Linked DNA regions of Coturnix japonica. Each later gene encodes a partner of the first gene's protein in a complex. Links are inferred from orthologs where the notes say so. Each region holds a gene or a part of one and is shown on either strand. Other genes may lie near its edges.

What was found. Proteins that work in one complex are often made in the same cells at the same time.
Region 2: the proteins of MAPKAP1 (region 1) and MLST8 are in contact, whole or in part, in a cryo-EM structure (PDB 7PE8), measured with the Homo sapiens proteins. The link is inferred for Coturnix japonica from reciprocal best matches to the Homo sapiens genes MAPKAP1 and MLST8. Residues at the interface, in NP_001006618.1 of Homo sapiens: Lys102, Cys103, Lys104, Asn105, Ile106, Gln107, Trp108, Lys109, Arg111, Asn112, Ser113, Lys121, Leu123, Phe124, Glu125, Lys126, Lys127, Ser128, Leu129, Gly137, Lys138, Gln139, Ser140, Ile141, Leu142, Val144, Arg145, Leu146; in NP_001186102.1 of Homo sapiens: Ala29, His30, Pro77, Ile78, Ile79, Ser80, Tyr81, Asp82, Gly83, Arg98, Arg110, Ile111, Trp112, Gln120, Cys121, Gln122, Arg123, Ile124, Asn139, Gln140, Ala141, Leu157, Lys158, Ile203, Glu206, Ser279, Gly280, Asp281, Gln283, Asp322.

Annotation. Positions count from the first base shown.
Region 1 is NC_029532.1:8,128,712-8,132,320, forward strand, and holds the end of MAPKAP1 (target of rapamycin complex 2 subunit MAPKAP1), read right to left. Parts: intron 2,741-3,609; coding exon 2,643-2,740; intron 1,176-2,642; coding exon 1,050-1,175; 3' UTR 577-1,049; downstream 1-576. UniProt on the Homo sapiens protein: Component of the mechanistic target of rapamycin complex 2 (mTORC2), which transduces signals from growth factors to pathways involved in proliferation, cytoskeletal organization, lipogenesis and anabolic output.
Region 2 is NC_029529.1:6,429,697-6,434,132, reverse strand, and holds the start of MLST8 (target of rapamycin complex subunit LST8), read right to left. Parts: upstream 2,901-4,436; coding exon 2,772-2,900; intron 2,630-2,771; coding exon 2,578-2,629; intron 2,511-2,577; coding exon 2,348-2,510; intron 2,270-2,347; coding exon 2,194-2,269; intron 774-2,193; coding exon 621-773; intron 451-620; coding exon 326-450; intron 141-325; coding exon 1-140. Other genes in the region: hexosaminidase D-like, read left to right, coding at 2,899-3,016.

The DNA of each region.
Region 1 (3,609 bases):
TCCACGTTCCCACACAGCTCACACTGCTGGCCAGGCTCTGAGCAGCTCGCAGGGCTGGGGGTGCAGCTCGGTACAAACCCACGGCCTTAGCACAAGGCTCCAGCAACAGCAGCTTAGAGATTTGTGAAAGACACCTCTGGTGAGTGGAACCAAAATGCAGCTCTGGTTCCCTGAAATCCCATTCACGTGTTCCCTGATATGCTAAACACAGACAAGGCCAGCACAGTTACAAGTCCCAGTACAAAGCAGGTCTCTGTTTCTATTCCTAGAGAAGAACAGTAAGGAGGAGGGGCATCTCCAGCACCAGGTGCCAGCTGTGGCCTCAGCACTGGGCCGCGCTCTCCTTGGGCTGCAAGAAGCACCTTCCAAGGAGGGAGTGCAAAGCTGAGGAGCAGTTACAGGAACCTGTTTTGAAAAGAATGAAGCAAAAAAAGACCTGAGCTGCCTCAGCGCTCCCCCACCAGTCGCTCTGTGATGGCTGCTGCTCCTGGCTCACAGTTGCCTCCTGCATGTCAGCAACAGAAGCGTAACCATCTGGGACTGCAGCCTCCCCCCAAAAGAACTGTGCATCAGATGGACCTTGAAAAAGATTACATCTGTTTATTAATAGTAAAAATGGATACATTTGTCCTACATTTTGTTTTTAGAAATTTGATCATGTCACAAGCAATACCTGCGTGTACGTGGGTGTATTACAGATGTATATAATTTATTTTAACCAGGCTGTGAAATAATATGTAATCACATCTCTTCTTGTGATTGTACATAATACAGTAATTAAATGATGCCAGTCTACGTCATTCTCTTATTTCTAATCAAAGGAACCTGAAGCGTAACAGTCTTCTTTCCGGCTGATATGGCTCTTTATTTGTGTCACAGGGGAGACCTCCCTCACCAAGGAGGGATCACCTTGCAGCCGTGAGAGATGGGGTTGTGCCGATGTCCTCCCGGCCGCTCCTGCCCTCAGCAGTGGAGCAGCGCCGCTCTGCCCCGGCCACTGGCAGCCCCCGCTCTGAACACGGCGGTCAGGCTCTATTCGAGGCCCGGTGCTACTGCTGTCCTGACTTCTTCTCCTTCTGGAAGCTAAAGCTTGTTCTCCTGTTCAGTTTTCTTTGTTTCTGAGCAAAATATTCTGCTCTGGCTGTACTCGCTCGTGATTCCAGAATATAGTTAACCTGCAAGACACAAAAAGATTTCACTGCACTGGTGCTTCAGTGTGCAGCCCTGGGAGGGCATGGACACTCAACAGGGCAACAGGAAAAGGGCAAAACCATGGCAGAAGCAGCCCTCCATGTGGGCCATCCCCCGCTCTGCCCCTGTCCCCACGGACCGGAGGGGCTGAGCAGCTTTGTCCCCCAACGCAGCATGTCCTGCGGCCGCTGTGCTGCTCTGGTGTGGTAATGGACTTCAATAAAATATTTTATCAGCTTTAATAAAAATAATACCTCCATTATGATGTTTGCATACTCAGCTAATCTTAGAGTTTCCCCGTGTTTTGGCACATTTTACTTGATGAAAGCATTTTTAAATGATATTTAACAAGGCTGCTATTCCCTAAATTTATTGTCTCCAGTGCTTTGTGATAATCACATAGATAATTTTAATGGAAGGTTAATGCAAGAATCAAAAAGATAAAAATGCCCTTTGGTCCACCATTAGCTGGTTAATATGCTGTGGCTTAAAACTTGCACGATTTTATGCACTGTAGAGTGTTTCACTTTCATTGCATATTACGGCTTAAGGCGTAGAAATATAGGGAGTTTTCATGGTCAATAAAGCCTCAGTGTCTTGCACTTGATCATGTAAAAAGCCTAATTTGAAAAGTCTGATTCCTCTACATCTCTTAATGCTGACGGAACTGAAAATAAACTGGTAACTTACACACAAAACCAGGAAGAGTTTTGCATAAACAATCTGCAAGGTAAGACAAAAAGTACTGTTTGGTAACGTTTTTCCCCTGAATATTCTCATTACTCAGAGCAAAACTTTCTCCAGCCCTGTGTGAGCAGTATGGCTCTGCCAAGTGCTCTGGGGACTCCGCAGATGAAGTGGGAGCAGAAGAGGTTGCCTTGTTGGACTGAGAGCCAAGGAAGAAGGCAGCACGCACTTGGCTGCCAACAACAGCACTGCAGTGGGTCAGTCGTTCAGCAGTCCTTTGGACTTCACACAGCAAAGCAAACATAATGGCTGGATTCCTAAAATGACTATTCTTTTGATTTTGAATTGATATAAGATATTAGATCGCAGAAAATTAAGTCTAATCTTCTGATTTGTTTCAGGAATTAGACCAATATGTACATCAGAGAGCTGTGGGAAAAGCAGGCAATTCTGGGCAAGCACCCAGAGAAAAAGCAGTCCTTCTGTGGCACTCAGCACTGCCCCAACCCAGCTCTGCTCTGCTTGAGCCACACCGACACCAACACCTGTAACCCTGTGTGCTCCACGTGTGCCCCATGGCCCAGCAGTGTCAGTTCCTGACTAAAACCCAACCTGGGAGAGGAGCAGCCAACTGGGAGCTGAAGCACCCAAGTGCTCCACAGGTGCTATGCCGTGCCTGTATTTCAGATCCTCCTGAAGATTCCCATGTCTAACAAGTGGCACAACACTCAGAATTTTGGGTCACGTTAAAATTTAAAACTCACCTTCAGTACAATTTCATTGACAGTAGCAGCATCTGATTCAAAGTACAGGTGTTTGTAGTCGTGATTGCTTAGATATGTAAGTTTAAATATTGCATGACCTGCAAAGATAAGAAAAAAGGTTCAGAATATTTCTCTAAAGTTTTCTGCGGAGCCGTGTGCCTGACAGAAGCAAAACACAGATGGTGATCTTAGCATACCATCAGCACAACAGAAGGGAGCAATGAAATGCTGACAGGCTTCTCATGTCATTTCAATTTAAGGCAAGTGGTGGCTTACAGGAGCAGCTGAACTCTTCCAATAAAGTTCATTTTCCCATCACAACCCTGCTGCAGGAAATGCAAAGATCTATCAGACGGTGAGTTAGCTCACAGCCAGCCCACGGCCGGAGCACTTGCAGCACCGTGCTGCAGCAACTCACCTAGATTCATGGTGCAATTACCACATGTAGAAGTGTTATATTTAAGATAAAAGGCCAATTAATCTCAGGATTATCATAAAATCCCCTCCCCAAAATAACACCCAAACTTACTCTGTTGCTAAGGCAAAGGAAAACGTCACCATAAAATGCAAAGGTATGTAGCAATGGTACCAGGAAACCAGACACCTGCAAGCAGAACAATCTAACAACAAGCAGAACAACTAACTCAGAACTGCAGTTTTTATCTGTGCAGTGCCCTGGTGGTAACCTTCCCCACTGCTCAGACCCCAGCAGAGGGTGGTAGTGACTGCTGACCCCAACGTGATGGAGCTGAGGCTGCTACGGGCAGTGGTGCCAGAGCAGCTGCAGGGCTGAATGTGTGGTGCTGTGAGCAGGCTGGGTATGTGGTGCTGCTCAGGTGTGCTGCAGACGATGGGTGATGTGCTGACCGCCCACTCCTCAACCACACATCACCAGGAGGAGGTGGGACATGGAGCCATGGAGTGAGAGATTAATGCAAAAATTAATGGAGACCATAGCTTTCATCAT
Region 2 (4,436 bases), on another chromosome or scaffold:
CAGAGAAGGCACAGTCCCACATCCAGCCACGAGAGGTTTCCCCTGGGTTATTGCTCTTAATGCTCAGCTCTGTCATCAGAGAGAAGTTTGAAGTCCTCCAGATCTTACATGTCTGATCTGCAGAACAGGTAGCCAAGAGCCTGCAAGGATAACACACGCATAGGTAATCTTATTAGTTATGCTGTACATGTAAAGGCCTCATTAATGCAGGCCTGGCACAATAATGAACTGAAGCCCTGCGTATTTAGTAATCAGATTTCTTTACCCCATATCATCTGCCTTACAAGATTCAAGCTGAACTGATCTGGTGGAGGAGCACACTCACGTGGAGTCAGGGCTGAACTTGCATTGCAGGGCATAACGGTTGTGTGCTGGGATCTTGGTCTTGGGGATCAGCTGGGTTACCTCCTCTCCAATGCCACCCGTCAGGTTCCACACGTAGCAGTTTCCCTGCAAGGAGATGGGACGTCTATGACTGGCTCTGTGGACCTCAGCCAAAAGCAGCCTAGACTCTGTGTCCCATCATAGCACAGCAAAACTCTATAGTGCATAGAAACTGGCTGCTTTTGCCCCACAAGGACAACCCAGCACTGCAAATCCCATCTCATGCCCAAGCTCACCGAGCTGTTGACAGCTGCCATGTAGCTGGCATCAGGGTCAATGTGCACAGAGTTCACGGAGACTTCAGGCTCTGGAATCAGCTGCTCATTGTGGTCTGTTTTCAGGTCCCAGATGTGAATGGCCCCGCTCTGGTCACCCACAATTAGCTCAGCCTGCAAGAAAATAGTGACAGGTACCTGAAGAACACAAGCCTAAGTGGGTTTTTCTCTGTCTCTCCTGCTCCAGGAGGGTAAGGACAGGAGCCAGCTGAAGGGCAGCAGCTCTGGCTCCAATCCCTGCTGCTCAAAGCAGCAGACAATGCTGGCAGCACTCCATTAAAACCACGGCTTTTTATCGACAGACTTACACTGTCCATAATTTTAGCAGAATCCCTAGAGGAGATCAGGTCATCAGATGCAGCTAATCCTGTACCTGTGACCCACGGCTTGCTTCAGGAGAAGACAATCATCCCTTGATATATTTAGCTGACTGTGTAGTGCAGAGGCATCTCCTGGACACCTCCTAGCCCACTCTTAGCAGCATCTGCAAATACAATTCTAACACAGCCGTGGCTTTACCCAGGCCATGAGAAATCCCTCTCTGAGAATAAGCAGCTTCACCCTGTCCATACTGTGGATCTATCTGATTAAATACTGCCACCTCTGGGCTAACTAACTGTCCTGCTCACAAGCCATTGCTTCTACAGTAACACAAAGTGATTATCTCACACACATGATTTATGCACAGTATTTGTTTTAATGCAACACATTCTGAGTCTCATGGTGCAGCAGCAGCAACATTTGGCTGAAGTCAGTTCCAAATGACCAATCTCACATTTAGTCCAGAACTCAGTATTTGTAATACTGAGTTTTTACAGAAATCAAAAGCAAAGAAACATTTCTATTATTCATATTTTTTAAAAGATTTGCTTTGAGAAAAAACCAACCTTATGCTGCTTTGTCTGCAGCTCCCACCCTGCAGCACCATGGATAAAGAATGGATCAGATGCGTTATTAACACTGCAATGATACGCATCGATTTCACCACCATGCCCACTAATGCATCCCCATCATCCCCATTAGCTCCATTTCTTTAACCCAAGTGACCTCTCTGACAGCTTTTGAACTGAGTGGTGGATCTCCAGCAAACCCTGAAGACACCACAGACCTTACTGGGGCTGTTGGCCTCTGCTTTTTTCTACTGGTAGCACTGCTTGTGTCCAACAGCCAGCAGGTAACTAGCACAAAGATGCTCAGCAAAAACCTGATGGTTCCAGCATGGATGCTGATGCTTGCTGCAGGTGCAGTATGAGCAAGACAGAAGCCAGAGACATCTGCTGGCTGCCAGCCCTGCTTGAGGATGTTTGTTCCCTGACAAGAAGCAGCAAAGGCAGGGGCAGGGCCACACTCTGCCTGCACCAAGCCTGGTCATGCAGCAGCTGCTCTGCAAGGGAATACATGGACGTGCAGCTGCAAAGCCACCAAGAGCCGAGGGGTCCATGCAACCAAGACCATGGGCTGAGCAATGCTCCAGACTGCCAAGCATTTGAGGGAGCATCACCTTTTCCAGGAAGGCCAGTGACAATCAGTGTACCTGGTTGGGGTGCAGGCAGACACAGTTAATGGGAGCATTGACTTGGAAGATCCGCTGGCACTGCAGGTTACGAGACCTGCAACAAAAAAGAGACCGAATGAGCCCACACGAGCCTGCGGAGGAATGTTCTCCCTGCAGCAGACCCCGCGCTCACCTGAGGTCCCATATCCGTGCCATGCAGTCCTCCCCACCCGTATACATCCAGCGCCCATCCTCGTGGAAGCCCACGGACGTGATGTTCTTGCTCACACCATCGTAATTGATGACGGGGTTGGGGTTGTTGGAGTTGAGGTCGTACATACGGATGTGTTGATACCCTATGGCAGCGAATGGAGCTCAGAAATACCAGGGGCACCCAGCGACCCCAAACACCCCGGGGCTCACCTGCGGCTGCGATCATGCTGCGGTCAGGAGTGATCTCCAGGGCGTTCACCTGCTGCCAGCAGTGCTAAGGGCTGTATGACACCGAGACCACACCGAGACCCCACCACCTACACCGGGCCCCCCCCTTAAGCTGGGACCCCCCCCCCCCGTTACACCGGGGCCTCCCCCCTCACGCCGGTCCCGGTGCAGGATACGGAGTCCTGGTGCTGCACGGTGCGGGTGCAGATGCCGCTGTGCGCCTGCCAGAATCGCACCGTGTGGTCGTACCCGGCCGTGGCCAAGATAACGGGGTCGCTGCCCACCGTGCCCTGAGCCGCGTTCATGGCGGCGGCACCGCGGAGCCGGTACGGGCTCTGCGCAAGCGGGTCGGTGATGTCAAAGGAGCATGCGCAGAGAGCAGCGGCGGTGAGGCGGGACTGCGGGGCGCTGTCAGCGCTGAGTGAGTCACATCCCGACATCGCCGCCAGGGGGCGCTGTGATGGGAACGGCCGCACCGAGCGGAGCGGGGCAGGGGGCTGGGGATTGATGGGGGTGTGGGGTGCGGGTACCGGGACACGGGGTGCGGGCACACGGGGCACAAATAGGGCACAAATAGGGCACAAATAGGGCACAAATAGGGCACACACGTCCCAGGGCCGGCAGGGCACTGAGCCAGCTCGCAGCAGAGTCCCGCCGTGCCGGTGCAGCGCTGCTGTCGGGCCCTTTAAGAGCGGCGGTGGCGGCCGTGGGGCAGTGCTCGTACCCGCGCCCGGGGGGTGCCCGCCCGGTACCGCACCTGCCGGTAAGGGGCGCTCCGGGGGCTGGGGCTGTCCTTTAGTACCGGGGCCGCCATGCGGTACCGCACCGGGAGGCGCAGCCGTTCCCTGGGGCGGCCGGTGCGTCCCTGTCCCGGGGGAGCGGGACCGACCGGGCGCGGCGGTACCGGGGCTGAATCGCGGGGATGCTCCGGGAGCGGGGGTGTGGGCTGGGCTCCACGCGGCCGCCCCCGCACGCACCGCCGCGCTGCGGCAGCGTGGGCTCCGCATGGCAACGGCGGCGGGACGGCCGGGCATTGCGCTGAGCGGCTCCGGGAGGTAAGAGGGGAACGGGGCCGGGCGCTGCGGGGGAGCGGGACACGGCCCCGAGATGCGCTCAGCCATGGGAGGGAGCCGCTGCTGCCATCGGTGCTGCAGCCCGGCACCGGCAGGGTCTGATCCGGGCAACCTGCGCTCTATTCGAGTTAGATAACGGATATTAAAAACGCCCGGTCTTGGCGAGCTGACAGCGTCTGTCCAAATATTTATCCCCGCTCTGATCAGGCGCTGTGTTGCCATGGCAGTGCAATTAGCGCTCTGTCTATGAACGGCCTTCCTGCGGCCAGGGGGTGCTGAGCTCCCCATACCGCTCTCAGAGCCCCATACCCTCCCGCACCCGCACAGCTCCTCCCACGAGGGCTGACACATCCATCGCCGGGCGGGATGGAAATGCTGCAGGGATGGGATGGCACAGAGCAAGGGCCGCCGTTGTCCCCTGCAGGCACCAGGAGCATCACAAAGCGCATCCACGCCGCACACGAGGCGCATCACACGAGCACAGGGCGCAACCCGCGGCCATGGCCGTGGATGCTCAGCACACACCCGCACGTTGCTGCCCTGCTCTGCCCTGTGCCAGGGCCCCGTGCTGCCCTACGGGACACGCTGGGTCCGGGTGCAGCGCTGCCCTGCGCTGTGCTGTGCAGGAGGTGTCGGCAGGGATTAGGGTTGCATCTAGAATAGGGCTAATTCAGAGCCCGCGGCGCTGGGCGGCTCGCAGCAGCTCTCCCCTGGTGCCACCGCTCTGGCAACACAAACAAAACCCTCGCAGTCAGCTGAGCAGCTCTG